Macaca fascicularis: one gene and its partner. The protein of the gene in region 2 interacts with the protein of the main gene of each other region in a biochemical or structural test. Links are inferred from orthologs where the notes say so. Each region holds a gene or a part of one and is shown on either strand. Other genes may lie near its edges.

Evidence for each region.
Region 1: the proteins of USP51 (region 2) and ZEB1 form a complex in vitro, tested with the Homo sapiens proteins (2 studies listed by BioGRID). The link is inferred for Macaca fascicularis from reciprocal best matches to the Homo sapiens genes USP51 and ZEB1.

The regions. Positions count from the first base shown.
Region 1 is NC_088383.1:32,244,281-32,248,095, forward strand, and holds part of ZEB1 (zinc finger E-box-binding homeobox 1), read left to right. Parts: intron 1-2,499; coding exon 2,500-2,605; intron 2,606-3,815. UniProt on the Homo sapiens protein: Acts as a transcriptional repressor. Inhibits interleukin-2 (IL-2) gene expression. Enhances or represses the promoter activity of the ATP1A1 gene depending on the quantity of cDNA and on the cell type.
Region 2 is NC_088395.1:55,607,181-55,611,675, reverse strand, and holds the start of USP51 (ubiquitin carboxyl-terminal hydrolase 51), read right to left. Parts: upstream 2,828-4,495; 5' UTR 2,769-2,827; exon of another isoform or gene 2,242-2,768; 5' UTR 2,067-2,241; coding exon 1-2,066.

The DNA of each region.
Region 1 (3,815 bases), on a different chromosome or scaffold from region 2:
TTTTATACCTTAGCGCTCTGATGTGGCCACGGTGTAGACAAGGCTTGGGAAAGAGCCTACTCACGTGACATTCAGGAAGCAGACCCATCCTGAGCTGCTGCCACCGTATTCCCTCTACTCCAAGGGCCATCGTAAAAGGAGAGGACAGATTGAACTGGTGGTGAAAGCAGAAGATGCCATTATAAAAACAAACTCCAAAATATTTAATGAGCATGAAAACCAATTCTATGATGATTTTTCCAGTGGGTGCAAACGTGGTAGGATTTACATATAAACTGTGGGTCAGACTAAGGTCAGGAAGGAGCTGTGATAAATATGGGGACCAGTAATGTGAGGAAATATAACAGGTGTTGGAAACAATTTAGTTTGCAAGGTAGCAAACTAAAAGGTAGAATGTGTATTTTGTTGGCCCTTGAGAATCATACTGTGACTAACAAGCATTTTCAAGCCTTACTAACTTATTTATTCAACAAACATTTGCATTTCTTTTATATGTGAGGCCCTCTTCTGGGTGTTAAAGGCACAGTAGTGAAAAAAAAAGTCCCTGATAGTAGGGACCATACATTAGTAGATTATATAAAACAGAAATAAAATAATATGTACTATGAAGAAAAATACAGCAGGATAAGAGGATAGAAAATGATGAAAGCTGCTAGGTTTCACAGAGAAGGGAGACTTTTCTGAGAATGGGACATCTGAATACAGTTAAGAAGCCAGTCATGGAATATTGGAGAAGGGCATTCCAGTCAGAGGAAACAGTGAAACGTAAGAAAGCCTTGAGGCCAGAACCTGCCGGGCACACCCTGAGAACAGCAGAGGCCAGTGTGAAAGGGAGAAAGGTAAGGCCAGAGAGGCGCTGGGGGCTACATATTATAGGCCGATTTGTAGGCTAAGATAAAGACTTTGGATTGTATTCTCAAGTGCAGTGGGGAAGCCTGCCAAGGATCCTGGAATTTTTAATTTTTATTTTTAGGGGAACACTGACTGTTGGATGATAGATAAGAGAGACAAGAACGGAAGCAGGGAGAACATTTAGAGGCTTTTGCTGTAATCTAGGCCAGAGAGTTTGGTGGCAGACAGATAAATAAGATTGTTGGCTTCAGAATATGTTCATATGCTTGCTGATGGATTGGGTGAGGGTATATGAGTAAGAGGGTAATCAAGAATAACTCCAAAGTTTAAGGCCTAAGCTATAACCAAATAAATGAGAGTGCTATTCACAGAGATGGGAAATACTAGAGAAGGGGCTGGCTTGTAGGAGGGAAATTAAGAGTTTGGTGTTAATCATGTAAAGTTTCATATCTCTATCACCTTCCAACTGGCAATATCAAAGAAGCAGTAGGTTGTAAAAGTCTGGAGTTAAGGGGAGAGGTTTAGAGATAAAAATTTGGGAGTTGTCACCATATATTTGGTATTTTAAGTCATGGGTTTTAATGAAGTGGGACCTGATTCAAAGTAAGTACTAATTCTCTTTCCTTCCTGTATAAAAGGCAAAGGAAGGGAGATTCCAGTTGGGAGAGCATGAAGCAGTAGTTGAGTTAAGCCGTTAAAGGATGGGTAGAATCTTAGTAGTCAAAATTATGGGAAAACACAGTGAAGGAGTAAGGAATTACGTAAGCCAAAGCCAAAAGATAAAGAGGAGCAATATGTGTGCAGGAAACCATGGCTCGCAAATGACTGAGACATGGACTTGTCATAAAAAACTGGTGAAAAATCATCTTGGAAACTCAGGGACTAAAATCTTGGAATCTATAGACTCAGAATCTTTATTGAGGGATTAGTGGAGATCCTTCAGCGGTTTATGAGCAGGAGTTGATAGAATTCAATTCAAGCAGTGCTTTTGTAAGATTAATCTAGGTGTGAAGAATACATTTGAAATATGTGAAAATGGGAATTTGATAAACCAGACAGAAAGCTATTATAATAATCCCCATTTGGCTGAAAAAAACTAGAAGTATCTTTTTAATCATCAAAGTACATTTTTGGAAATATCAAATGGAAAAGACAGGATAAAGTACAGGGAAAAGCCTGTCTTCTCTTCAGGACCTTGTTCTATTGAGTGAGTTTTAAACAGGTTATTCAGTATTTGTGGATGTGATTTCTATATCTATAAATTGGAATGCAAACAAATTAACCTCTAGTTCCTAGCAAAGTATATATTACTTTATTTTTGCTAATTTTGAATATTGCTTAATAAAGGATGAACTCTTTAGATACTTTAGATACTTTAGATACTTTAGAAAGTTGATATTTTTCTGTATCAAATTCTGTCCCCACTGTCACTATCCTTTTTGGTAATAATTTCAAGAGTTACATTTTTGTGACTGCTACAACTGCTAGTAATTTCAAGAGGTAGATTTTTGTGACTGCTGCAATTTGAGGTCTTTAAGGAACAAAACAACCATCAGGCTCACAAAAATGTTACTCTTAGCAGATTGGATGTTCTTTAGTCTAAAAATCTTTTGCTTTACAAATAAAATACCAATTCTTTTCTTACAGAGACATGTGACGCAGTCTGGGTGTAATCGTAAATTCAAGTGCACTGAGTGTGGAAAAGCTTTCAAATACAAACACCACCTAAAAGAGCACTTAAGAATTCACAGTGGTAAATATTTTTTTTCTTTCTACACCCTGAATATCAGCATATGTGGTAATAAATAAATATCGTAACATGTGATCTACGTACATGATCAGAAACTCCTTGCATTTCTTTTGGCATACACTAATAGGGAGAAATTGTATGTTTATTTTCTGTTTTATTAGAGTCTTAACCTTTGATTAAAGTATATCAAATTAATATAGTATGACATACTCCACATTTCCTAATGAGAAGATAATATAGCATGTTTTAGTAAGTACAACCTGAAAACACGTTAACTTTCTGATGAATGTAAATGTCATTGCCTCCTTTGCACAATTAACAGGGGAATGGAAAAGAGTATAGAGATACGATTTGCACAAGAAAATAGGGAAGTGAAGGATGTCCTTTATTTGAGAGAAGTAGAAATGGAACTCAAGATTAGAAAATATTGGAGAGATGATATGGAGGCAATGAGAGGGGGTGAAAGGATTACAGCATTAATGAGAATCTAAAAGAAAAATGTGCTCACCCACCATCTTCACCTGTCTATTCCATGTCATTCTCTATATTACTTACAAGGTTAATACTATTATGTGATGAAAGTGTTGTGTCTATTTTAGGAACTCAGAGTAAACAGAGAGCTATGTTTACATTTCTTTGGAGACTCTACTTGAACAAAAGCACAAAAGGAAAACTCTCTAGCATCCCATGATGCGCTATGAAATCTGTTCATCTAATAAATTTTGATATGTTATTTTAGATTTAAATAATTTTAATGCAAAAATTATTAACCATGAATGGGAAATTATGGGTGCTCACACATTGCTTATTTTGTGAAAATTATGTATTGACATTTACATTTTACAAACATCTTCTTACAAAAAAAGTATAGTTGGATAGCTTTGTGAAGCGTAGTTGGTGATATGTATGTTTTATTTTGGAACTGCATTTCTAAAAGTTTTACTGTATTGCTCATTAAAGCTAACCCTCAGTGTTAAATGTGCTGAAGTTACCACTTGAAAATGCTCAAACCAAGATCCTTACCAAAACATTTATTTTCACACATTGATTAATGTTTCTAAAAAGTAGAGGTTGTCTTTTGCAGCCTGCCACAATATCCTATTTCTTAGCTCCTATGCTATTGAACAGTTTTTATCAATAATAATATATTTTAACAACCTACCTTCTTACCAGAGATGATTTAAAGTTGTTAATAGAGATATAGCTAATTTCA
Region 2 (4,495 bases):
TTGGGCACACAATCTGCTGGTGGCTGGCCTTCTTTCATTCTGCTCTCTTTAGTGGAGGCCAAAAACGGAGTCATGTCCAGCTCCAAGGGAAAGGAGATAAAGGTATTAATCTTTCGCCTCTGTTTGCCTACATGCTCAAACCGCTTGAGATGAAAACAAGCCACAATGGGTAATTTTTTCATTGTAAGCTGTTTAGTAGACTCCTGGTAGCTTTGGCAACTATTGCATTTGATTTTGGCACTGCTTCCTAGGTGCTCTGGCCTTGTAAACCACTGTAGGCAGTCTGTGAGTGAGGGGATTCCTGGTATGTGGTCATCCCTGCTCACTGTGCCATCAGCCCTCTCTGGGTTCTGGGAATCGAATGTGGCACAAGAGCCAGGCAAGTCCAAACTGATGTCCCAGCATGGGTCTATGGTGGTGGAAACACTATGGCAGGCTTGACATGTGACATCTGATTGCAGGCCACCTGTAAAGATTTGGTCTATGATGCAGTTACAGCAGTTGGGGTTATTGGCCTCCTGCACACCACTATCATCTTTGCTGTGTCTATGCAGCACATCTAATATTGCAATAAGGAACTCATGGGCATCCTGCTGCCTGTACCCTGCTAAATGTTCTGCATGGATCCATATCAGATGCAGTAACTTATAGGGAATGTGAGGAGTTCGGCTCCCAGAGTACATAGCATGAAAAAGCGAAGACATTTCACAGACCAGACACAAGCTGGGGCTTGTCATTATACATTTGTGCTTGTCAGAGAGGAAGAAATCTTTCAGTAGAGGAATATGGGTAAGTGCCTGAACAATACAATTCATAAAACAAGTGTTCCCAAGATTGATTAGCCCTCTCAGGCCTACAGTATAGACTGACTTTTTTCTTCTCTTTTTCTTGGGTTTCACCAATTTTGGCTCCTGTTCCTTTGTCTCACAGGTTGATTGCTTGTCTTCAGTCCCTGATGTCATAAACTGTTGATGAGAAACATCTGTTGAGGTGGAAGTTAATCTCAAAATTTTTTCTTTTGTTTCTTTGGCAATCTGTTCTATGTCTTTGTCATATACATAATCCTTACACATGAAGCAATATATGACCCCATGATAAACGTCTACAGCTAAATGGTGCTGCTTTGTTTCTGCATGTTTGTGAATATGTTTCTCAGTGAAGCAGCCAAAAAAGACACAGGAGAGACAAGAGTGGAGTCTATTCATATGGGTACTACATACATGACAGATGCATGACTTTGCTTTACGTTTCCTAGTCTCTGGGGTCCCACTCCAAACGAAACGCTGGTAGATCAGCCTCAGGTTCTTCTGCCAGTTCTTACCTACTTTAAAGCTCTCCACATGAGAGCAACCTGTGGGACCCTGACCAAAGTCGACCTCCAGCAACCAGTCCCCTAAGCCGCCAGGATCCCCCGACCCGTCTAGGTCACCAGAGCAGCTTCTCCGTGTCTGAGGCCTGGACCCAGGTCGGGATCTGCGCCGGGATCCACGCCAGGCCCTGGGCCGCGGTGCGGATGGGGGCGGGGGTGGCGGCGGGGGCGGGGGCCGGGCCGGAGGCGGGGGTGGGGCCGACAGCCCAGGCTGGCTGCGGGAGCGGGCCCGGGGCTGGGGCCGAGGGCGGGGCTTGCGGCGCGGGCAAACGGGCGAGGAGCTGCTGTGACAGCGAAGGGGGATTGAAGGGAGCACCTTCTCGTCGCCGCCGCTGCTGGTCCACGTCAAGTTCTCCTCCGGCACGGGCTTAGGCTCCTGTAATGGCTCCAGCTTCATCTCCTCAGCTTCCCGTCCCGAAGACGCCTTCGTCGCCCCCGCCGCCGCCTCCATTTTCCCCGCCTTCTCAACCGCCTCCTCAGGAGAGGCTCCTCCCCCACCTCCGGAGATCCAGCGGGCCCCAGAGCCGGAGGGCAAAGAAGTTTCTGGAACCTGGGCCATCAGATCACTGCTCGACCTGAGAAGCAAGGCGTCTGGAAACGAGCTGCGACTGTAGATGAAACGAGACAGACTTCTGTGAATGATCTGCCCAGCGTCATGGCCGCAGTGCGCAGTTAGCGCCCCCAGGACCCCTCCCATCGGCCCTTGAGCTCAGCCCGCGGCCGCTGCCGGCTCCACCCACTCAACTGAGAGGCCCCTGGAGCTGATGGGGAGACCGAGGCGGTTACCTGCTTTAAAGACGCTCAGATCGTGCAGGGGCCAGGGGACTGGGAACAGAAGGCTAGCGAGCGGTGGGGGTGGGGAACGGCCTGAGCTTTAGGACAGAAAGGATGGAAACTTCTTTAAAAAAGGCGCCACCCTCTGTCTGCTTTTTTGCGCCCTGCGCAGCCTCGCTTTGGTGCAGCTTCCTCTGACGTTCTTTCCCTGTATCCTAAAAAACACTTGGGTCAACATTTTCTCTCAAAAATGGCTGAAAGGACGCACTTTTGGAAAATGAACTCAGAGGAAGAAAGTGTCCCTCTGCTCCTACCTTATCTATACTTCTGTGACCCGGTGTGTTCCACTCTAAGCCGTTGCCCCTCAGCGCACTTTCGTTCCGCCCAGCTCTTGCGCCCTCTCACGCTTTTTCGCTCTTGTGCTCTCACACCCCTTTTCTTGCTTCTGCGACTTCAATTCCTACGATTTCTCCTAGAATTCGGATTACTACTCCCTCCCTTCAGGCATTTGCCACCTCTAAGGCCACCACCATCCTCGGGCGATCCCCGAAGTCCCCGCTCCCTTTTCCCTCTCCTGCCCCCGCAACGCCCCCAGCCCGGCGGTTTGTTTAAAGGTCTGGGTTACCTTGGGCCCCAGGCGCGTGATATAGAACGTCAGCAACTGCTGCTGTCCAGGCGCTCCTCAGCCAGCCTTCTCTCCTGACCTCTCCTCAGGGCTGGTCACAAGGGGGCCGCCCCCTGGCCCCTCCCCTCTCGACGTGCGGCCCCCAACCCCGGATTCTGCCCTCCTGCAGTGATGAATGGCACCGCTGTCCCGCGCAGGCAGGCAAACCTCTTCCTGAAACAGACTCTACTGGAGGCAACAGCAGCAACAGATTCTACAGAAAGCCCCTGAAATGGAGGCTCAGGCCTCACCTAGCTCCAGGCCCGCACTCCACAGAAAAAAAGATTCGCCCGGCATGGGGGTGGGGGCTTCCAGAGATGGCAACTCCCTGGCAGAAATCCCTCAGGATCCTGTCAGAGTCTGGTCTCTGGGAGTTGAGAGAGAGAGAGAGAGAGAGAGAGAGAGAGATTATCCCAGAATGTGCAGGGGAGGAAGCATAAGCAAGGGCTCAGGCTCAGAGAGACCTGAGCCCAGGCACATGCTTGCTGTGTGACCTCAGATAAAACACTTAACTTCTCTGAGCCTTAGTTGTGTCAATTTTTTAAGAGAAATTGAAATAATAACCCTAACCCAATGTGAACACTAAGTCATAGTATATATCAAGTAAAAGACCTTTTTGGCAAGCTTTATCTTTCACACCTCTTTTTTCAGTCCCGACCTGAAAATCAGCCTAGAGAACAACTGATGCAGAGCAGAGGAGAAGAGAATGCCTTTCTCTTTCGAAGCTCTCTCCAAGTTATGGCTCAGCTCACGCTATCATCCCTCCTAGGCGGTTCATGTACAGGAGCATGCATTCAACAAAGATGCCATCGGTGCATTATAGCACTAGATTGTGCTGTGAGAAGCACAAGATACAACTGTTTGTGTCCTGAAGTCCATAGGCCAGGAGACTTTTCCTTTTCTGTGACAGATCCAGCATCCAAGGTGACAACCCCGGAGGAAAGCTATCTCCAGGGCTTGTTGCCCTTCCTGTCCAATCCCAAGAAAATTACGGTTTATTACAGAGGATGTTTAATGCTACATTTAATCTCTCTGAAAAAGTCACACATCTCCCCTCAAAACCTCACGATTAGGATTCAGCTCTCTTTAACTTGGCAGTGGCATCTAGTGGATATGTCCGCACTGTGGATATCAGTGATTTTATGACTTGGTCTAGATTCGACCATATCTCAGTCACCTACCAGCACCTGGAGGGAAAGTGCTTTGGAATTATAGACTGGCTTGTGCAGGAAAACGTGTTTCTTTTCCCCTAGGGAAGGGCATTTTCTCAGTCACAGCTAAGCAAAGAGTTGCTTCTGCATTCGCAGAGCTAGAAGGAAATGCTGAGTCAGTCGTTTGCTAGCTGCGCCACCTGTGGCGTGGATCCCAGCTGCTCTGAGACAGCCTTGCACCCTTTATGCAGGCAGAGAGGCAGGGCACAATTTATAAATACTTCTGTCTTCTGAGCCTTTGCTTTCTTTTGTGCAAAATCAGAATCATGAGAATGCCAGCCCTACCTAGATTCATTTATGCAGCAGATATGTAAACAGCACCTACTGCTGCCCTGGGCACTATGAATATACAGCCAAACAAAACTGGGCACAAAAGCAAGTCAGTCAGAGTCTCTGCCTGAGATCCACATCAGGAAATGCAAAGGAATGTGCTGTGAAGATTAATGTTAGTTAATAAAGGCCTAAAAACCACTCGTA